2 linked regions of the Neodiprion lecontei genome follow. The protein of the gene in region 1 interacts with the protein of each later gene in a pairwise test. Links are inferred from orthologs where the notes say so. Each region holds a gene or a part of one and is shown in the gene's direction. Other genes may lie near its edges. The genes, in order: alpha- and gamma-adaptin-binding protein p34 and AP-2 complex subunit sigma.

What was found.
Region 2: the proteins of alpha- and gamma-adaptin-binding protein p34 (region 1) and AP-2 complex subunit sigma interact in binary tests that used the Homo sapiens proteins (3 or more experiments, as listed by UniProt). The link is inferred for Neodiprion lecontei from reciprocal best matches to the Homo sapiens genes AAGAB and AP2S1.

What each region holds. Positions count from the first base shown.
Region 1 is NC_060260.1:7,897,154-7,909,209, forward strand, and holds alpha- and gamma-adaptin-binding protein p34, read left to right. Parts: upstream 1-5,582; 5' UTR 5,583-5,751; coding exon 5,752-5,815; intron 5,816-5,917; coding exon 5,918-6,090; intron 6,091-6,212; coding exon 6,213-6,327; intron 6,328-6,588; coding exon 6,589-6,750; intron 6,751-6,903; coding exon 6,904-7,026; intron 7,027-7,133; coding exon 7,134-7,315; 3' UTR 7,316-7,401; downstream 7,402-12,056. Other genes in the region: uncharacterized protein LOC107220945, read right to left, coding at 3,001-3,079. UniProt on the Homo sapiens protein: May be involved in endocytic recycling of growth factor receptors such as EGFR.
Region 2 is NC_060261.1:36,411,003-36,422,721, forward strand, and holds AP-2 complex subunit sigma, read left to right. Parts: upstream 1-4,632; 5' UTR 4,633-4,775; coding exon 4,776-4,778; intron 4,779-4,987; coding exon 4,988-5,137; intron 5,138-5,381; coding exon 5,382-5,555; intron 5,556-5,655; coding exon 5,656-5,757; 3' UTR 5,758-5,839; downstream 5,840-11,719. Other genes in the region: cystathionine beta-synthase, read left to right, coding at 1-55, 139-392, 482-752, 833-1,273; trafficking protein particle complex subunit 6b, read right to left, coding at 1,888-2,289, 2,472-2,597. UniProt on the Homo sapiens protein: Component of the adaptor protein complex 2 (AP-2). Adaptor protein complexes function in protein transport via transport vesicles in different membrane traffic pathways.

The sequences.
Region 1 (12,056 bases):
TTCGACTTATACAGCATATAAGAATTCATCAAGGTTGAGCCTTGTTGCGTATTCGCGCAAGAGTTTGAGGAGAGAGATCGGTTATATGGGTAAATCCAAAACTTTTAGCTTCTAGCGAAGCACGAAGAAATTAAGAATATTTCTTAAGATAGCGTTGATACATAATTGTAGATTTTTTTTTTTTGTTTTGTCAGTTCTACGTAGTATCGGAAACGTATTTGCATAATTAAATCTAGCGGAATATATGTGTTATATATGTATATACATTATATATTTAGTAAAGTTGTAGAAAACTTTGCAAGAGAAGAAATTGTCGAAATTGTAGGCGAGAATTAAAAAAAATATTTTTCAACCTTTATTGATATTCTACGATCGCTCTTCCAGTTTTTATTTAAATATAATATGTTTGAGTTGCTCGTCCATGTACTAAAACAATAACCCACTTTTCCTCGCGTGTACTAATTTGAATGAAAAAAAAAATATATAAATTATTCAGCTACAGGAATGCGAGTATGGATTTTAGAAAGTTTTTCATTTTCGTAAAGTTATTCATTTAACACGTACGCCTTTTGATGTATCGATAAGTGATAAATGCTGTCATAATATTGTTGGTTGGAAGATGGATTTTTCGCGAGTTAACTGTCCCGTCAATAGTGTTCACGTGGTAACAACGCAAAAATTATTATGAGAAGCGTAAGCTGTGTATGAAAATCAGTTTTAACAACGGCAGATGAAAAATTTATATTTTCATTATTGTAAACTAGAGTATTTCGTACGTATCGAGTGAATAAAATAGGGGCGCCACAAATCTACGTACGTATCAAATATAGATCATGATCTTGTTAGCAATATTGTTATATTTCAATTAATGCAATATGAACATATTCTAATAGCATTTACGGTATCTTATTTCATTTTGGTGAACGATTCATGTATTATCGCGAACCATAATATATTACTATTGATATAAACAAATTGATGGAAAAATAAAACCGTGAAAAAAAATCACGTCAAGCAAATCTGTGCAACTATATGTAAAAAAAAAGAGAAACAATTAACACTACGAAGAAACTTTCGCTCTCAAATTTCAAAAAGTGTCAATTGATACACGTTGAATATAATGCATTCCACCGAATTACAGTCAAGATACGGGTACAATATTTATCATCTGTGACAGTAGTCGGTATTATACGTCGTGCATGCATCGATGTGCTGATTGCGAGACAAGATGATAAACACGAGCTTGATTCGACACGATTCCCTGGCATTCGCATGGAATAAGGGTGAATCCGCATCGCGAATTGCGGCAAGACCATCACGGAAAATGAAGAAACTGATATCGGGGAGTACAAGAAGTCGTTATTATCATAAGGAGAAACACCTCCTCGCAAATGTTGAAAGTGCCTTCCCTGCAGGGGGAAAAGTGGGTCGCTCGATATCCCCGACGGGGAAAGACCATGGAGCTTGCAGCCACCGGGAGGCTGCCGACTAACTGTACATATAGGGAAAATTTGGAAATTCGAGAACCGGAAAATCGCCTGACGAGCCCGCTTTCGATTCGGTATCCCCGAGTTTTCGCTTTCGCTTGCCCGGCGAACATCGAGCGAAACTTTTCAGACATACGCCGTGTGCGTAACGTGAAGAAGCGCGGAGAGAATTATGGAAACAATGATTAGAGTCGTGAGATTGAAGTTAGTAATATTATTGCAATGACGTGTTGTGAAATCGTTTATTTCGCGATATTGCAAGAATTGTCTGAAATTCAGCGAACGATAATAAGGCAAAATTTCATACTCGTACTTCAAAAACTTGACTCGTTCAAAGTAATTCTGAAATTGCAAAACAGTGATTTTTTTTTTTTTTTATAATGCTTCGTTTATACCTCAACGTCACCATTTTTAACATGGTGATATGCACTGTTGAAAATGATTGTGGATCTACTACACATTTGCTGTACAAAAGATTGTCAATTTACGAAATCAGATTGTAGATTTGCTAATTCGGTGTAGCGACGTAAATTAGATTTTGGATTTTACTAAAATTTATAGGAGAAACACAAGGCGGTAATTTGAATAAACAGTAAATGTACGGTGAATTTACTGTTCCGTATCCGAATAAAACTTTCAGTACAGCGTAGGGAGTTCCATGTGATAATTTTTAACAGTGATGTTCTGTTGTTGAAAAAATACATTCCATTTGGTGAAAATGAATATTAATTTTTGCATCGACCTTTGAAAAACGATAACATGATTTTTCATCTTATCTTCGCTACCGCGTACTTTTTCAATCATCACCGCGCTGAGAACGAGCCACAATACAAATCGTATCGACAATTTGTGTAAAAGCAATTGCGTTTTCCTTGTAAAAATTAAATCGACTTGTGCTAAATTCCTCATATCTATTTTAGAACTGATTTAGCAGCTATACATCGAATAGTTGCTAACCTCCGCTCTCTCCTCCTCATGTAACCGAAGCCCTACCTCGGCCTACGGTACGGTGGATTTTCTACGACTTCCCGAGAGCTGCTTAGAGATATCTGCTTCCAAGCTCTGCATCCTACCCCTAATCCCCTTTCCCATTCCCCATTCCCCACCCCATTTGCACCCTAGTTATCGCGACCCGCGCTTTCACCCACATTCCAACGGTACGTCCGTCCCATCCTTGTCGTGCTTAATTCACTTTAAAGTGCATTTTGTCAATTCAACAATTGCAAAATAATGCTCGACCGTATAAATGAAAACAAGATTCTGCCCGCATTCGTTTGGAATCGCATTTTCTTCATTAGGTCAAAAACAAAATAATAATAATAATTTTGCCACGAAATACTTGTACGAAAGTGATTGAATTTACATCGATCAATTATCGACAGTCAATCGCAGTATTCGGGCAAACAGAAAAAAAAAAGTATGTTATCTCGTCGTTCAGGATTGCACGACAAACAATTTATTACGACTAAACGAGGGAATCGGAGAAGGACGATAATCACTTTCGTGCACTTACCGTGTTGAAAGAGGCTAAAAAAGAGGATGCAGGCGATAACGGCGGTGGTTGGCAAGAGTCTGCGAAGAGTGATCATCATGATCGAATCACCGGACCATGTGCTTGGCGAAACGTCAAGTCGATCAGGGATTCGACTTTATACCCTTGGCGTCAGAACGATCACAATTAATGTTTACACGAAGATTATATTTTGTTTATTTTATTATTCCGATAGATTTAGTGCAGAGATGTGTAAGTCGGTATACGTATACGGCAAATGCGGATTACTTCTAGGTTTCTTTTTTGAAACAGCGAACAGGTGACAAGTTTGTCAACTCAATAACGATCCGAGGGGTGAACGGGCCGCGAGATCACGGACACAATTTAATTCATGACCTGCACTCCGAGACTCTGTAAACGAGGGTGAGCCGTGGGACCGGGATCTGCACGCCTCAATCAACGTACCACCCGGCAGAGCTACCCTGACCCTTCGCCGTTTCGTTCCGTTCTGTCCTGTCTTTACGGAATTATTGCCCTAGCGGGTATCCTTCACGCCGGCGTCGCGACGCCCGGGGAAGAGGCGTTGGGAGGGGAAGGGTGGGTGGGGGGGGGGGGGGGGGGGGGGCGAGGTGAAAGGGGATGAAGAGGCACCGTCATCCCTTAACGGGCGCCACGTTATCGCCGAGCGTATTTTCAGTTATTTGCTGTTTGTTGAAAAAACTGTCTCCGTATATCCGGGATTTGATTGGCTGAGAAATCGTTGGAGAAGATGTTAGTTTGGAATGAAAAAGATATGGAAAACAACAACAAAACAAAAGTGTCCTTATAGTTTAATATATAGATATTGATGTAGCGATGTGATATTGTTAGTTCAGTTCTAATGTTCTTTTTTTCTCACTTTCTTTTAATCGAATATTCATTCAATAGACAGGTACGTAACGAGCCTTTAACAATGTAAAGTTGTTAAACATATTTCGACATTCTCAAACGTATAAACTGTGAAAATCTGACAATTTCAGAGATATTTGTAACTTGAAAACAATTTACATATTTCAAGCTATGGATGTGACGTTTAAAAATGGAGAGCATAAATAAATAAGCGGGAAAAATTTAGTAGCCTGCAAGAACCTGTCTTCAGTTTTCCTTGCAGTTGCGTACTTATAATTCAATTACTCGTAGGTCAATAAATAATCAAACTTGTTCAAACGAATATTTGTATTTTCACAAATAACTCAACAAGTGGCTTACCGATTAAAAAAAAGAATGATTTTGGCTCAAATCTGACTTTGTCGATTTATCGAACATATTGATCGTATAGCGTAGTTCTGATCAAATTTTAACACCTTCCTAATCACAGTATAATTAATATTTAACGCTATATTATAGGACGCATCGTTATCGATCAAACAGATGATGATCAGACCTCCTAATCGTTCATCTTTCAATAACGGTTTTTCCACAACACGAATCGTTACGATAACGTTATTAGGTAATACGGCAATCGGAGCATAATCAAGCGTAAAGTCTGATGCTTACAGTATTATTAGGGTGGTTAATATTTAAACTTTGTTCTTTTAAGTTGTCACTCGACAAATTTGTGATAAATACTGAAAAAAACTGTCGAAAAACCTGCAGGAGGTAGGAAAATGTATGGAAGTCGCAACCAATTACTGAAATATTGTTTTATTTTTTTACGGTTACATCTTACGGACTTATATATGTATATAAGTCAGTAATTGGTAGCGACCTCCATACATTTTCCTATATATATATTGGTTTATTTTTTTTGTATTTTGGTGCAATTAATCCTTCATCAATCAACAGCAAACTGCGCCTACCAATTCCGCAGTTGGCTCTTCTCGTCTTTTATCCGAAAGATTAATCGTTTCGAAGAAGTTTGAATAACAGTTTTTGTTACAGAAAGAGGAGTATTACATCATCTTAATGTCCCTGTTTCGTTTTCAGTACTGATTTTTATGAACATTGATTAATTGTAGCGCAATACGAAATAAACAAACTGTGACATATGTATATATATAAGTCCGTATGGTGTACACATAAAAATAAATAAAAAATATCTTGATGTGCTATAATATATAATAATTGGTAGCGAACTCTAAATATTTTCCTACCACCTCCAGGTTTTACGACAATTTTTATTTCGCTATTCGTAACAAATTTTCGAGGAACACCTTAAAAAAAAAAAGAGAGTTTGAAAATGAACCACCTTGAGCATTATATTGAGAATTTCGAATTACTCAAAATGCTTTACGAGCGGTTCAACTAACGTAAGAATAAACCGAATAAACAAATTCATACTCACTCATGTCTCATCGCCAAAAAATTGTTTTCTTTAGTCGGCAAATAGACTGGAAAGCTAATATGGAAAGCGCAACGTTCGACGTTGATTCCGGTCATTTTCAATCACTTGGGAGGGGCGAGATACGACCGTTCAGCCATATTCGTCAGAGAATTGAAGGGTTGCGCGATACCGATAAGAACTCGCCGATCCGCGGTGTTCGACACTCGTCTGCGGAATGAAACGCACATGGCAGCAGCCAGGTTTAAAATTCCAGCTGTAAGACGCGATAGCTCGAAGCGCGTCGATCGTCGAACGTCGACTGCTGTCAAAGTGGTCGAGCGAACCTAACCTAAAATTTGAAGTTTAGTAGACCCGTTGCGCGTGCTGGTTTATAGCACCTCTCAATTGTCGTTAACAATCTCTGTGAGTGGAGAAAAGCAAGTGGATAAGCGTCGCAGACTCGGAATAAGATGAATTTACCTCGCGTGCTTATCGCCAGCACGGCAAGCGGAAAGGCCGATGAAATAGCCAGAGGTACGTGTACAGCCTTCCCAGCTTTGGTAAAGAACGATTCGGGGGATGAGCAGCTACTTGTAAGCAATTACTTGGTAATATCATCAACGGTATATTCCGCAGATATCGGGGCTAAGGAACTCGACACCGAGGATGATGCTGTCAACTACTACCTCTGGGACATCGAGAACAAATATTACAAGGCGCAGGTTATGCTCTGCACCACCGACAACCCTCTTGTCAAAATTGACTCCGAATCTGTCGAGGCGTTAATCATTTACTACGACGGTCGACTTGTAAGTCGTACTTATACGAGAGCTTTTTTTTTAAATTCTTACGTGTCGCTGATGCTGACTGTACTCGCGTTTAACAATGATCTGAAGTGTTCCTTTCAACTTTCTTGCAACATTTGCATCAGGAGAATGGAACAAATGCGCTGGACGAATGGGCTCCGCTGATCAGTTCACTTTCCGAGGCTGAAGTACAAATACTCGCTTGGGATTCGACGATCCAAAGAGGAAATGGTGAACGAGGTAAGTTTGGCAACAGCATTATTCACAGAGTTTGTAACATTGAAGTAAAGGTGCGTTTTAAGGAAAGATTGTTATTTGGCAACTTGAGAGTTGTCTGAAAATGATGAATCGAAACGTACTCATAGTTTGAAAACTTCATTTATTCAGTCCTTTTGGAAGTGAAAAATAAATTCAATTTTCATTACGTCATCGTTACTAACTTCCATCTTGTAAGTTTGTAGCGACAAATTGATCCCTGAGTTAATCATGTTATTCTACTAGTCCTGGAGTGGTGCGCACAGTACAAATTTGAACTCGTCGACTTCAATCGCCCCGAGGCAGTGGAAAATCCAGATGATTCGGAAGATGAAAACGAGAAGCACGGCATTGACAGAATCGTCGAAGCTCTTCATGCTCATACTTGGCCCAACATGGATCTCAAAGGTATAACTGCTGTATCAACGATGTTTTTTCTCATACGTTGAGTCAATGAAAAAAATCAGTTTTGTACAAAGTACGCGATCCACCCGTGAACTATCTTTAAAGAAAAAAAAGCATGCTGCACTTATTTAATAATAGAGACGGTATTTTTGACAGGCTGTTCGACGCTACCAGAAAGCGGATGCATCGATATAGCGGAAGTTGACGAACAGTTGCAGGGTGTTCATTTGAACGGGATTCACAGTATGTCCCAGGGTTTGCAGTTAGAGCACATGCTGGGTGAGAATAATTGACCTAAGATGAAGAGTTCGCTGTCTTACAAGTGAGAGTAAATATCGAGCAACGAATTTAAATAAACGACATGCCTATTTGAACAAAACTTGCAGAGGGTATGATGGGAGGCGAGAACGCAGATTTCGGCGAACTGTTTGGTCAGTTACTCGCGATGAAGGAGCACGCGGCTACTTTGCCGGAGAATCAGAGGCGGGCAGCGGCGGAGGAACTGGTAACAGCATTCTGGAAAGCGATGGGCGGAGATCCGGAGGAGATAGACGGTCTGGACCAGTGAAGAAGGTATCATTATGTAAACGAAGACGCGTTGTACATGTATTATGTATATGTTGAATATGGTAAATAAATATATAAGCATAGTCATATTTTTGTGTTCTGAATCAAATCTCTCCTATGCCAACGCGGCCGCACATCAGGATCCGCAGTATTATCCCCACACCATGTACCGGATGATAAGCTGTAGTTGAATTCCTCGGCGTCGATTGCTCATCCGTTAACCTTGAACGTGAACTCGAACTGGGCTTCGCCGCAACACTTGATACTCGACGAATTCGGATTTGTCAGAGACGAATGTTGTTTTTTTTTTTTTTTTTCTTTTTTGTTCCAACTGACTTCCAAGTTTAGTCTTCTCTCGTCCGATATCGTACATTAATTTTAATGTTGTACACGGTTTCCGATAGCAACAGAGCCATTTGAAGAATTTAATTTGATTATTCGATGACCCGTGTTTACCGATTACACGTATATAGCTGTAATAAATACCGATGCTCGGTTTTGTGCCTTTTTTACCGTTATGAAAACATTAATGCAAATCAGTGACGCAGTGCTGATTTACCAAAATTATTCAATCGAAGCTGTCCGCTAAGGTGATAATTATTCAACTTTACGTATGATATTGAATTGCATTCCCCTAAAAACGAACCATTAGATATTATTCAATTAGAAGTGTGAACTCCCGCTGAGTAAATTTATCTCCAGAATGATCAAAAAATGTGACGCAATTGCTATCGATTTGGAAGGTCAGGAGAGATTATAATCTTTTCGACGTTTTCGTACCTTCTCGTATCTGGTTAGGACAGAATTTATTTGAAGACATTTTCAACTGTGCATAATTTTCAGCTAAAGTGCCAGTAGTAGAGTTGGTCGAGTGTGGCAAACGAGTCGAGGCAATGAAATTAATGAGTTTTTGCTTTATTTTACCTTACGACGATCTTTCTAGGAATATCCTATTACGAAACCGATAACGTAACAACATCTTTTTTCCTGTAGGATTCGAAATAAATTTAAAATTGAGACGTAGATCGTAAGACATGCGCGTCTACACGCAAATCAGTTTCGTTATAAGCTTATTGTCAGTCGTTTTTGCGGGACATCATCAAAGATGATATCACATCTAACAATAAGCTATTCTCGTCGTTATTCTAATTGGCTTTATACAGTATTCGATGACTGGTTAGTCCTGTAAATGATCTTAGATTTGAAATAAAATCCCAAGTATTCCCAATCGTGGCCATATTAATTTTACATCGGCGTAAAGCGATTCAAAACGTAAAATACTTTAAAAACATATTTTTTTAATAACTCTTACGGCTAAGTTTTGAGCTCAACATTTTACCTTTTACTCACAGTTTCAAATATCACGCTACCTACATCAATTTTCAATTTCGGAGAGACTTGATATTGCTTTTTGCAAAAGAGATTATAAGTATTCGAGGTGTGTATGTTAATTATACGCGATTGTATGGCATTTAAGCTTGAAATCATTATACGCGTCACCGCGTTCCAAAAATGTTTAACATTACTTTCCCCTCTGTATGCGACGAGATGAGAAAAATAAAGAGTTTCTCTTTTGCGGATCTTTCAAGCATCGGTCTCAGGTGTAGGTACGATAAGTTAATGGGTGCGCTTTTTGTGCAAGACAGTCTTATTTATTGTAATACCCATAGAAAAAAATCCCTTATTTTGAATAAAGCGATAAACGGTTTTGCCCGTGAACGTAGATAGAATTTATCGAACGTCAATGATTACGACGACATTTTTCCACACCTTGAGCATTATTTCTATGTGTCGTAACATCGCATTGAGCGAGCGTGCGTTACAGCCATCACCTGCTGCCGGCTTGCAGACGAAAGTCGTTATTTTATCGCGCTCGTAAAATTAGGATTCATCGCGTGAACCACGGCTATTTTCGTAAATTTTATTTATTCTGCTACAATAAGAAATCTTGAAACTATAGTGGGTTTGACGAAGAGACTCCGCAGTTTCCGCTTCTCGCAGAAATACGCCATTACGATCTAGAGAGTTAAGGTACGTGTACCGGTTATTGACCTCTTTTTGTTCCATCTGTTTGATCCTTAGTTCTTGAATAACAAAAAAATTTATTTCTATCGTCCAACTCTCTAGCAATTGGTTTTAATCCTCGAGAAATTCACAATTTGTACCGTAAATTTGTAATTTTGAAAAATACAAGGGTCAACAATTGGTTCTAAACGTCTCGTTAATTGGTACACTTACCACACCCGATCCGGGTAAATAAATCGAGGGGCCTTGAAAATTGGTAAAATCTCGAACCAACTCGAGGCAAAAATCGCAATTTCTTGGACTTTAAGATTCCGAGCGGTGTTCGAGAGTTGCGGTCGTCGTATTAAAATCCGTGGAACTGGACACTGATGTCCAGTAAAATCCCGCCCAGAGGAGAGAGACAGGTTCGGTGATCGTAGGCGTGCGTTGGTTGAATACCGATATGTTTGCTTAGCTTGAAAATTCCTTGAAAGAAACCTTGCGCCAAGAATTCGAAAGGAAGATCTTGTCTCGTGTATTATACCTCTTGCCTGCCCGAGTGAAGTCTCGCATGATTATATGTAAAAACGCTGGACACGCCGCAAGCAGCTTCCGCGGATGATGATTCAGCCCCTTCTAATTCTCTCTCTTTTTCTCTCTCGTATAAATTTTCTCTTTATCCGCGGTATGTCAGCTGGGTAAATGACACGCGGAAACATAAGTACATATACGTGCACAGACCTCATGGTTTACTCATACCTGTAGCAAGTGTAGGTATGTAGGTATGTAGGTGCCTACCTAATAGAAAAACAGGAGTCTTCGGAAAGAAGAAATTTCGGGGCGTTTGCTGTAGCAGAAAAATTATACTTGGTACCATCTTGTTACTCGTGATCGATGAAAAGCAACGGATTTATTGTATACAGATTAGAAACACGCGGGATAAAATAACCGCAGACTGTTATCGACATTTTTACCGCGAGGAATAAAAGTACATATTATACGATGTATTATCATAATCGTGAAATTTTTAGGTAAAAAGATACCTATTGTTTTGCACTGTATGTGAAAATAACAGTGTATTTACATAATAACACGGATACACCGTTCACAATTGGTAATTTTTTCAACACCCCGTATATGCCACTTGTGCAGGCTTTTACTCCGCGACGAGAGACATGAGAACATATCCTCGTTTTCTTTCAACTGTATGAAAGAGATATCCTTATAGTTTTTTTTTTTTTTATCCAAGATTAACGAGTTATTTCTTTAATCTTCATTTTATTCGAGCATGAGCAGGAATTAACCCTTTGTGGCACAGCGTCTCATAGATGAAAGATCTTTTCTGAATCGGTTATTCAAGGTTCATATTCAATTTTTGAGATATCGCTGTAATTTTGTTTTTTTACGTAATTGGAATGATAAGATGTCAATGTTGATGTTTTAGGAAGGATTTTGATGATTCCGCGATTATAGTTTAGCGCTATAAGTGTGAACAAAGTGTTGAAAGCACCTATTTTTACAGAATAAATGTAATCTTGGGAAGGTTATGGTGACTAGAAAAGCGGAATTCGGTAATCTTGGATTTTTGGAGTCGTTAAAACCGAATCCAACGTCAAATATTCAAGATTCAAAATAGCGGATCGAACATGGCGAATTTGAAATCATAAAAATAGATCTTACGAGCTCATTTAACATCCGTATTTTTCAATTTTGCAAATTTCGCACATCTGATCCTATTTTAGAAATCAGCGACCTCGAGAATCTTTATATACCCAGTTTCAAGGAATTTGACTGCAAGGAATAATGTTTTATATACCTACTATAATTTATTTACATACACGGCATAGCGGCAAAATTCCTTTCTTCCGCATTCTCCAAAATCGATTATAACCATATATTTTTTTCCCAAATCTTCCCGCGTTCGTCGCGTACGATCGTTCAGAAATTCGGGATCGACGAACCCGTTATCGCGCGTTTGTTATGCGTCGTTTATTAGGTATGCCATAAGCCGTTGCTCCGAAGCGTGTATTATAGCCGAGTATAATATATACTCTGTTTGAAACGATTTGTATATTAAAAAATCAAACTACCTGATGTATTATATATAGGTACCTATAAGACGCGCAGGAAACACGGGGCGATGCTCGTAGACACGGTTCTCGAACTCGCGTGTGGGTACAGAACGGTGTGTCGGCTGCAAGTCGACTTGCGCTCCTCGCCTTTTATCATTCTTATCTCATCTTTCGCTCTTTTTCAATTAGCCAACGTAATACGGTACTGTAACGGGTGTCTCGAATGTCTGAAAGATGCGCTCACCGATCTAAGATGTACAATTTAATGGCACGGCGTACACCAGAATTATACCGCGGATATCATCGAATGAATAAACGTGTTGAGCATAATTTTTCTTCTTTCGTTACATATCAATTTTGACAATCCGAAGGATACGAAAGAAACAAACTCCAATGAAATACAGAGGAATAATTAGAAAAATTTCGTTACACATTATGGGTAATCAACTATACCTACACAATGTCAAATTGTTATCAAATAACTCATAATATGTTAAATGAATCTAAATAAATATGAAAATGAAAATGTAGGTATAATACAAATTGTTATAGAGTACAGTGAAAATGGAACTCCAGTGTCACGATGTCTTAGTGCGAAAAAACAATGTCTGCTTTCACTAACAAGCGAGATTTAGTCGTTTGTTACTATATTCAAATTGCATAATA
Region 2 (11,719 bases), on another chromosome or scaffold:
AACAGTATCTCAGAAATTACAGAAGGAAATACCAAATAGCGTAATTCTGGATCAGGTAATTAGACATCGATGGAAATGGAAAGTTGGCAGACTTTTCTTTTCCTTTGTAAGACATGCTAACGTCTTTATGTTTTACAGTATACCAATTGTGGAAATCCTCTAGCTCATTACGATCAAACAGCGTATGAAATCTGGGAACAATGCAAAGGCAAAATCGATTATTTAGTAGCAGGAGCTGGTACTGGTGGCACCATTAGTGGGATCAGTCGCAGATTCAAAGAACTAATACCACAGACAAAAATTGTAGCTATTGATCCGGAAGGTAGTATTCTTGCAGAGCCTGCGGAAATAAATCAAAGTGAAGTAACCTTCTATGAGGTCGAAGGAATTGGGTATGTATTCCTTGTGTTAAACTAAGCAAAATTAGAATTTTCTAGATCACATTGAGTCTGCTACATATCTAACTGACATACATTTTCAGATACGACTTCACTCCTACGGTTTTGGATCGTGGTTCAGTTGATTTGTGGGTTAAAACGAATGACAGAGACTCACTGAACTGTGCTAGAGCACTAATACGTGAGGAGGGTTTGTTGTGCGGTGGAAGTAGCGGTGCATCTATGTCAGCAGCTTTAAAATTGGCCAAGGATCTACCAGAAGATCAAAGAGTTGTTGTAATACTGCCAGATGGTCTCAGAAACTACATGACTAAATTTGTATCGGACCACTGGATGGAAGCCAGAGGTTTTTTGGTACGAAATAACTAAGTGTTTAGAAAATAAAATTGTAAATTGAAGAAAAAGTTAAAACTGACTTCACTATGATGTTTCAGGATCCACCCCCGCCGGTAGAGGCGAACAAATGGTGGTGGACGACTTCTATTTCAAATCTTCGTTTAAATCCCCTGTCTACTCTACCAGCAGAAGCAACTTGTCAAGAAGCCATTGCGATTCTGAAGAAAGGCGGATTTGACCAAATTCCGCTTATAGAAAAGAATGGAAGTATCCAAGGGGTAGTAACTCTGAATGACCTTACGAGAAGTCTGATTTCGGGTAAAGTCAAGTCTACGGATTGCGCACGGAAAGTACTGTTCAAGCAATTCAGAAAGCTGACTACTTGTGCAACCCTCGGACGACTGTCACGAATTCTTGAAAAAGACGCATATGTTGTCATAGTAAATGCGAAACAAACGACCAGTGCAGTGGGTATTGCCACTCAAATGGATCTTTTGAATTATATCAGTGAACCGCACAGTAATGGCACTGCTGCTTGATCCGTCTATTTATATTCATTTTAAACTATTTGACCCAAGCCTCGCTTACCAATATTTCTGCAATGTAGATAGATTTAGTCAATTCTTGACAACAGTTGACAAACGTAATTTTTGTTTAGTTCTATTCTTTTTTTTTTCTGGAAATTGCTTGATTTTTTATACATTTCTATACTTGAATTCTGTGTATTATTATGTAATCCAATAAAACATGAGACTGATCATGTATTTGTATTTAAGTGTGGTTTTGTTATTTGTCAGTCCATGTGATACGACATGAGATATTTGAAGAATACTATTTGCACTGGACCAATATTTGATGACGAATTATTAAGGTTAAATAACTCGAATAGTAAATTGATTTCATTATGTTTTTTTCTACACCCATATTACGATCGCATGATTTATGTGTGACCTGGAGTAGATGGAAACATTACACACATGCACATATCGATGTCTTTTACCGAAATTATGTGTATTGTCCTGCAGTATTTGTTGCACTACGTCTATTAAGTCGATTAATGCATAATCACAGTCATTTACACAAATAATATAGTGTTTATACATTTTCAATAAAGTTATTAAATTTACATACTTATATAATTATTTACATTATTTTAAACTCTCTGTACCTGTACATGAAATTTGCAACTCGGTAATGTAGCTATTTCTGCTGTGACCGTACTAACTATTCCAAGATTTGCAAGGCTACCACGAAGTAGACCGCAGGTAAAAGCTAAGAGTCGTGGAGCCTCGCGTAAGTACTGCGTGCTATCAGGAGCACCGATGTTGGTTAGTAAACGGAATGCATTGTCATGTAGTACATATACTCCCTGATGATTCGTTCGCAAATTATCGATCTGCTTGCGGTACAAACTTGACCAAAGATCCATGCATATGAACTTAATTGTGTCCAACTCATCCTTGAAACGCGCCCATTCCCTAGTTAACCGTTCCATGATGCGATATCCAACACCGAATCCCATCCACTCCAAAGGCGAAAGCTCTTCTTCGCCCTCCTGATTTAAAACATTATTCAACGATTAGATAGTTGATTGAACATTCTGTCGAAGAATAACCTTGGGTTATGTTAACGGATTCAAGTAAGTTTGACATATGTTTTTGCAGACGTCCAGGAACGCGATGTAACTGTGAATCTTTGGGATGTTGGTCAGTATATTTAAACTGTAGTATAACTTGCCTTGCCGTTTGTTTTTGAACTCAGAACGTAATTCACCATTTCGGCATGCAAATATTCGAATAGACACTCGTCCGCTTCCCCGGTATCAGGGAGGTTTGTTTTTGTGTCAACGTTTTGCTGCTTCATAACGCAAACGATGATTTAATGGACCGTCAAGAAATAACAACGCCGATTATTGAACTTGCGTTCTGATCTGTCAAAGTGGCAATACCCAACACACTGTCAGTTTCGCCTTGTCGCTCACTAATAGCTGACAAATTACGATCGCTGATTGGTAAAAAATCTCTCAACTTTACATTTATTTTTTGTAATCTGAATTAAATTCAGTTTTTGATGTTTTATTCTGTTTATGGGTAGGTATTTGTCGATGATTCAACTCTAGACGTCAAATATCAAAGCTGTGTTCATTAACTACTGCTTTTCCCCATTGAATAAGCAGCTTTAAGGACGGTCAGCCAAAGGTATTTTTGCTAAGGTCGTATGCGAGGAGAGTCGACGCCACGGTCGACACAAAGCTACGTCGATAATGGAAAATACTTCTCTATCACTAGCATGGGCGATCGCTTACAGAAACGGCACCCTGAGATTCTCTAGAACTTCCGCATAATGACCATGATACAACTGCGAATGGCCAAAAAACTTGTAATATGATCCGTACATTATTGAAAATTTTCACTGCATACTATGAACAAAATCGACAATAAAAAAATTGAGATTTTTACAGGATTGTTTTCTAATCAACGTCTAGAAACAAAGAATATATCCACATGCCAACTGCACTAGGTACCCAACATTTTTGATATAGGTATTTTGCACTGATTTAGATATTACAGATCAGTGGTCCTTTGCTGTCGAGTTTTGCACAACTGGAGGTATTCGTCGAATGCTTAGCTTATTCTCAGAATCAGAATGCATCAACTACACGCTCTGAGTACACGGTCAAATTAACAAAAAATTTTATACTTTTTTATGTATGCGTGAAATTAATATAGGAAGCATGTAATTATCGAATATAAATCACAGACGATACAACCAGATGTAAAACATCACACACGATGGTATGACGTCAGGTTTTTCTTTACCATTCAATAAAATATGTCAATCAATAATAAAGTTTATCCCACAAATAAACGTCTTTTAGTGGTTCAATGTAATTATCGAATATAAATCACAGATGATACAACCAGATGTAAAACATCACACATGATGGTATGACGTCAGGTTTTTCTTTACCTTTCAATAAAATATGTCAATCAATAATAAAGTTTATCCCACAAATAAACCTCTTTTAGTAGTTCAATTAAGTCGATTGACAAGCAAGCACCATCCAACTGGAGAGAGGATTGATTTAAATGGAGGCAAAACGAGCGTATCGTCAAGTGATATCACAAACCCTCACGAAATTCATCTTAATGACAACATTTTCAGTAATAACTCGACGCCAGTACGAACATACCTATACTTGATACGTTACACAAAGAGACAAATCATATATCAGACTCACCCTTACGCCAAACGCCTGCAGAAAATCACGGCGCTCGTCGCAAATGTGAAGTTTCACCACTGCACTGCACATGACAATTGAAACGTTGAATAACAATTGTTCCAAAAAATTCTATAAAACTGATACTTCACTCACTGGTTCACCACTATTTGTTAGGGATCATGTACACGTGAAACCGATGATGCTGTAATCACAACGTCGTGGTTAACTTCAAGTAAAGGAGTATTGCACTGATTTCACTATATCTTTTCTCCTCCATTTTGATTAAAATTTTTAAAAGCGCAGCAATTCAATCGCGAGTGTCATTTGTTGTGCGTGAATGTAGTATACCTACCATAGACGTTGACTGAAGAATATACACATAACGCCGTGTTAAGTATTCAATACACTCGGTATAAATATCTGAAAAGAATCGCAACCTCGTAGCCGGCTGGTCAATAAATTATCGCGAAAATTGCCGAATTAACTCTACCACACAATCAAGCACAGCAAAATTCGCGCAGTTAACTGCGTGCTTGTCGGCTCGGCCGCCCTCGATCGTTTGTCAGGTGGTTCGGCGTCTTCGGCGTTCGCTCACCAACAAGATGGCGCCGGCTACCGAAGCGCCAATATTGCTCCGTGGCGCTACGGTGACACTAAGCGACGAACAGCCGAGAATTTGACTTGAAGTTGTCTGATCTCATTGCATTTTACACGCGTACAGATAGAATACTGATAAAGCAGGAGGGCGGACTTATCACACGAACCTAAAAAGACACTTGATCGAAAGTGTCACCTGTCATCTGTCACCCTCAGAGATAATGGCAAGTACTGCATGAGAATACGATCAAAATTTAATACAATTCAGCGAGAGAATTTATGTTTATTTGATTCCGTGCACCTTGATTAAAGGTTCAACTCAGTATCCAGAATTACGTTATCTCATTGAAATCAATATTATTGCTTGTTTATAAAATTTTGTCAGGTCCGTACAACGCTAGCTTGATCGTTTCTGATTATACATTTTTCCCAGATTCGATTCATCCTAATCCAGAACAGAGCGGGCAAAACTCGTCTTGCCAAATGGTACATGAATTTTGATGACGATGAAAAACAAAAGCTCATCGAGGAAGTTCACGCCGTCGTCACTGTTAGAGATGCTAAACACACCAACTTCGTTGAGGTTCTACAAGTTCATTGGATATAATATGTCTATAATTTCTTAGTTCAGTGCAAAGGAGCTTATTTTGTTTCGTTAAATAGTTCGACGCTTGATTCGTACAACAGTCACAAAGAAGGCTCAAAGTACATCTACTGATAATGAAAAGATTCCCAATTCTGGTTCAAATTCTGACACACTGAAGAAACTGTTTTTTAAAAATTGCTTTTCCTATGGTTGGCTTGACGCCTATGTATCTTGGTTTCAGTTCCGAAACTTCAAGATAGTCTACAGACGATACGCTGGCTTGTACTTCTGTATTTGCGTGGATGTGAACGACAACAATCTTTGCTACTTGGAAGCGATTCATAATTTTGTGGAAGTCTTGAACGAGTATTTCCACAACGTTTGCGAACTAGACTTGGTGTTCAACTTCTATAAGGTACTTTATCCTGCTGAAAAATTTTACAACGCATCTCATGTAGAATATTTAGTCTGTTGTTATAATAGTCAATCTCCTAATAATACCATTGTAATTTCAGGTGTACACTGTAGTGGACGAAATGTTTCTTGCTGGTGAAATCCGAGAAACTAGCCAAACCAAAGTTCTTAAACAGCTTCTCATGTTGAACTCCCTCGAATAATAAAACAAAATACCATTCCCTTAGAAATGTTCTGTATTTGAAAATCTCTCTACAATACAATCTCATGCTCCATTTCTTCTTACACCTCAAGTTTTGTTTCACATTTCTTTCAAAAGTCCAGCAAGTTATCTTTTTTGCAGCTTATACAGAATTCTTCTGTCTTACCGCTGGTTGATATCAGTAAAAGGTGCAACGTCCACTGTTCTATGTCGATAAGTTAGTTAAGCACGGTTATCAGGTTCCTACTTTATCAAGTGCTTGACTGCACACAGAACTCGCGATCACGAAGTGATCTTTAATTTTTTCTCAGAATAAATTGGAAAGAAAAATCTAGGGTAATTATACGAACGCCGAAAATATCTCAAACCTTACGACATCTTGCCGTTATGACGTCACTCTTTTAATTTCCAATAGCACGACTATTGAACTAGAAAGGACAGAAGCTTAAAATTCGATTTAAATTGTATTACAGATAGAAATTTGGAAAAAATGATAAAACATTGAAACATTATGTAGAGCCGGGATACAACAACAGATGAAAATACTAATTGATGACAATTTTCGCTACACTTATTATGAACACTGAATTGAGTTCGATAACATTGTGAATAGTCTCATTATATCAATGTGCTTCGGTATATACGTGTACAGGCGTAGGTTTTAATAAAACTAAAACTGCAAGCATGCATCGAATAACATGGAACCATTCGACAGATTTTTAATTAAATCACCCGCTGCAGCTCGCGAACTAAACAAAATTTAGTGATTTCCCCTTTCCCCACACGATGGCGATCGTCGTCGGGTGATCGCAAAATAAGAAGTCCATACTCATATTCAAGACGTCGAATTCACGGTCATACATGATATAATATAGGTACCTACATACATAGAAGATCAATGTAGATCCACGAAATAAAATGCCCATCATGCGGTGTATCCGTATTCACGTTTATTAAGTCGTAAACGTAACGCCCATGCAGGCTAATTGTCGTGTACACTAATTTGCTCTGGTCGTAAGCGTGAGGAGAAGAATCATCTTTGCCGGCGTTATTTCCTTTAGTTCATTCAACTCACTGGTTCGTTTCACAGTAAATCTAAATCACTCCAGAGAACGTGTCAAATTATTTCTAATCAGCATTATGCTCGTGCCGCATGAAACAGTGAGACCATGCGTGTCTGTCGAATTACAATAATATTGATAATGAACGATCACGAGAAATTATGAAAATTCCCATCTTCGATAACTGAAATTTAATAAGGTAACTTTATCTTATTAATTTTCTTCTTATATTTCTGAAAGACTTTTCACATTTTTTCCCGGCATCTCCTACGGGAAATGACGAGAAATTTAAGCAAGAGCAATATTTCTTGGTCAATTTATTCCCCATTGTGATTAATAATTCAAAATGTAATAACGAGAAACACTTGCCGATATTTTCATGCCCGCCGTCGCAGCAACGTCGATGCGCAATGATCGCGGTAAAAATCATTAACTTCCCTACGTGTACCTGAAATCGAAGATGTAGAACGAAGCTCGGAGTTATAAAACTGTATGAATATGTATAACATTTAGGGTCGGGGTTATCGCGGGTTATCGGACGACGAGAAGACGCAGTAGATCAGCCGGGAGCTTGTAGTGGCGGCGACCCCTGCAACTGATATCGCGCGTCGCTTCGCCTGGATACGCCTCTCTTGTATTCTCTCATAATACAAGAAATTTCATACATAAAATTCAAGCAGTTATACATACTTATACATATATAAATATTTTACACTAACGGAGACGATCGTCTTCGCAGCTTGGCGCCCGCACGACGTTCGTCGGTTTTTAATTTGACTATAAAATTGTGGAGAAGGTCACCGTCGTCGATTTTACAATCTAAAACAAGCAGAAACGATTGTTTCAGACCTCTCCAAAGTTTCAAGCACGCAATATTATAGCTCTGCTATTGTATCATTTGATTACGACTGCGGTATATGTATGTCTGGGATACCATAAAACCACGTACAATTAGGATGCACTCACAATCAGACTCCGTTATACGTTTCTTATATTATACGAGACGCCGGGATCTTGACCCTAATATAATAATGATACAGGGTATGGGAGTTTTTTTCTTTGATTAAAGTTCATGAAAAAACTGTCATTTTTCGTCATGTTTGGCCCTGATTAAGACACTCGCATCAGACACTCTCCAACTGATATGCGGCAGTCCAACAGAAGTTCTTGGCATCGGATTTCAGATGCGTTAGGTATACGTGTATGATATAAATATGTATATGTGTTAGTCTTTTAACTAAACGGTGAAGCTAATTATAAGGTACAAGAGATACAGTTTTTAATTCGACCAAAGTGTAAAGAGTGTACCTACAATGCAAAGAGAAAAATAACAATACATATTATATGCAATGGAGGTTTAATTTTTTCGCTTGGTTTATAATTGTTACACAGAAGCTGCCTGAGGATCTTTTTATTGCAGAAAATCGCAATTGCACAGAACGAATAGATCTTACACTTTGCGTGGCTAATTCCATTTCCTTTGCATAACATATACTTTATAACACATGTAAAGATCGGTCTGATACTGCAGTGTTTTCGGCCTGGGCTCATTGACTTTGTGGCGGGATTATTATGTTCAGTACATTTATACACGATGATAGTTTGACCTGCGTTACCACACATCATGAAAAATAATGTTGCGTTTAATCTCATACTTATAATATAATTGAACTTCTCGTCTTAAGGAGTATTACATATAGATCGGATGGTGTAAAATACATATGATTGACGGCAATAATATTATACCGACAAAGAATTCCTTCATTATATTTTTCATCTATATGAATAAAAATAACGTTAAGTTTTTTTATGTTACGTCTTACGCAAGTAAAAAATTTTTTTCAGATATTGCGACAAATTTGATCAAATTATGATGATGTTTCTGCATGGGTCAGCAATTTGACGATATGTCATATTTTTTTTTCATACCATTACAATTATGTCCAATTTTACACTGTAATATTAACGACGCAAGCGCGTATTACGTATCGTCAGAAACTCAGGATCACTTGGATTCTCAAGAGAATTTTCTGGTATTGAATCAAAAAAGAAATACATCTTGAAGCATGAATTATTCTGTTGAATGATTTTTCAGTACATCGAAATTCAATCAATTTCATTTGAATTTGTGAAAGAGAGGCGTAAGGGTGAACCTACGTATAAATGTTGCCAGAATACAATATTTCCGATTCGTATTACTGTATACTGTATATATACACATATATCTACACAAATGTATGTATATATATATGTATAAAGTCTTGCGACTTATCATTTTATTTATGACGAGGGTTTGTATCTTTTGACGTTTTTACTCGCCTCTATATTATACGTATAACGTATGCGACCGGTCTGTATATACTTGTAATATACGTGTATAACTGGCGTAGTATGAGGTTGACCTCATGACCACACACTACGGCTCTAGCATCAATCTTACGTAGAGATACAAAAAAGATAACGTAAACTGATACCGATAGAAATGTGTCTAGGGATGGCTGAAATTCAATATGTGGCAATTGAACCGTACATATAATTTCTTAGCGGATATGCATTATAATGTAACGTTACCGAGACAAAGAAAACAAGTTACGTTGCAATTTCCGCTAGATAACGATGTCTGACAAAGGGTTATTCACCCTCGAAAATGCATCGGCGGAAGAATCATCAGGAAATTATTACAATAATCAATCTTAACGATTTATGAAATACTTGATAGTTCGACAACTGTTTAAATTAATAGAAATTCAAGATAAATGAAAATTCATTAAAAAATGATTTACAATCGGCCAAAATAGTTTAGATCTACGATACTGTTCTGTGCTATGGAAACGGAGTGAAATAAAAGCATTATCAGTATTTAGAGGTAATTTGAAATGGAATAAGAAATTCGAAGCTTTATGCAGAAGCTAAGATCGATTACCAGGAAAACTAAGATACAAGGAAAAGTCTAGAGCATATATAATTATATGTAACTTAGGTAAGTAGAAATCGCACGACGATGATACGAAGTCGTGAAATCTCTTAACCCCGCGGGAGTTAGAAGTCACGTTGTACGAAAGTGAACAATCTCTCGGTCCTTAAGAAGCTAATTCTTATTTTTCGCGCAAGTCGGCCGTTTCCTGGGGTTAAAGAGTTTTGATTTTTTTACTTCCTCTCTTCCTTCGTCCCAACGACTGGTACGCCTGGAACTTTTTTCGCTCAGGTGCGGAGGGCCGAGTCACGATGATACATGGATAGGAAGAGACGGTGCAGATTTAAAGTAAAATGGGTCGGGGAAGCGAACACGTGCTGTCGCGACTACCGCATGATGGGACGGACCGAGTAGCTTCTCTTGCTTATACCGCGAGAAAGAGAGAGTGACACAGGGAGAGCGATGAGGACCCCGAGGGGTGTCGGGGGTTGGCGGAGGGGGCGGGTGGGTGGGTGGGTGGGGGGGGGGGGGGTGGAGATCGGAGGGGCCGAGGGCGGGTCGCGTAATTAAGAACGTCTTGAGGTCCTCCTCGTCCCCTTCGCCGCGGCGTACAAATAGCCGACGACCCCAGCGCGCGTCGGCGCCTCTCAAGTCCCAGAGTCTCAAGTCTCAGGTCTCAAGCTCAAGTCTCAAGTCTCACGTGTGCCGAGAGAGAGAGAGAGAGGGAGAGAAAAAGAGGGAGTCTCCTCTCCGCGCGTCGTCTATAGTAAAGTCAGCGCAGATGCTTTATCCTCGATGCTGGTTTTAATCTATTTCTTTCTTTTCCGCGGCGGCGGAAGAGCGGGAGTGAGAGAGGAGAGAGAGAGAGAGAGAGAGAGAGAGAGCCGAGAAGACGACACCATGCGCACCACACGCCGTAGAGACACATTAGCTATATTCCTCGTTTGCATGGCGGAACGCCCCTGCGGTACGGCTTGCCGTGCTCCGATGCACCCATCCGACGATGCAGCCATCCCGCGTCCCGAGCCAAAGGGCTTTTCCATCTATTTGTCTATGCATCCGTTCCTTGATCCCGCGATCCCTATATTTTATGGGGAACTCGACCGAACTCGTAAATACTTGCTTCGCGTATGAATTATCATTATTTCCGCACCCCGGTCGGCATCGAGCCATCATCTTCCAAAATTGCAGCGATTTTAGTCACAGGGTAAGGGATTCGGGAACACGATATTGTCACGATCATTCAAGTTTTCAGATCAACGGCTGTGAGCGTCCGTTCGCTTCTTTATAGGTACCTAAATTTTGCATCGCAATTTTTTACGGAAATTTAAATTCTGGGTAGAAATTGTTTAATAATATTCAAATATATCCGAAAGTCGATTAATTAACGACTTGTTCATACAATATATCCGGAAAAGGAAGAAATATGGGATTCCTGCTACTTGATATCGACAGCTATATCTGCATGGAAAAGAGAATTTCTTTGTAAGATCGCATTTGGGGCTCGCGATTGTACGGTAATTAATTGTTATAACCGCCGATCTCATTGCAAGTGCGGCAAATCGCGGTAGGCCATTGTCACCGCATGTTTTACTGCAGACACGTTTAAATATGCGTCTTGAGTCATATATGGGTATAATACATACCTACAACCAGTTTTACTTTCAGATGACTTCGTGAAGCTAGCGCCATTTCGGAAATTAGTCTACCTAATATGTATGAACTTTCGTTCCAGTACCAATGGCTACTCGTAATTGTCACTGATCATGCACCGATTGTCGTCGGGACGATGTATTTGCATAAGTTCTGCAAATAGATGGTAAGAAAAAAAAAAGAAATGTTAACGTAAAGGCATTTCGATTATTTTCAAAATGATTATCCCTGAATAATTAATGATAGCAATGACTGATGAGAGACTAAAGGAATAGACATGAGGATAATCCGTCTAGTTTTTAATGGCTAATCGTGTACCGTGTCGAAAGCTCAGC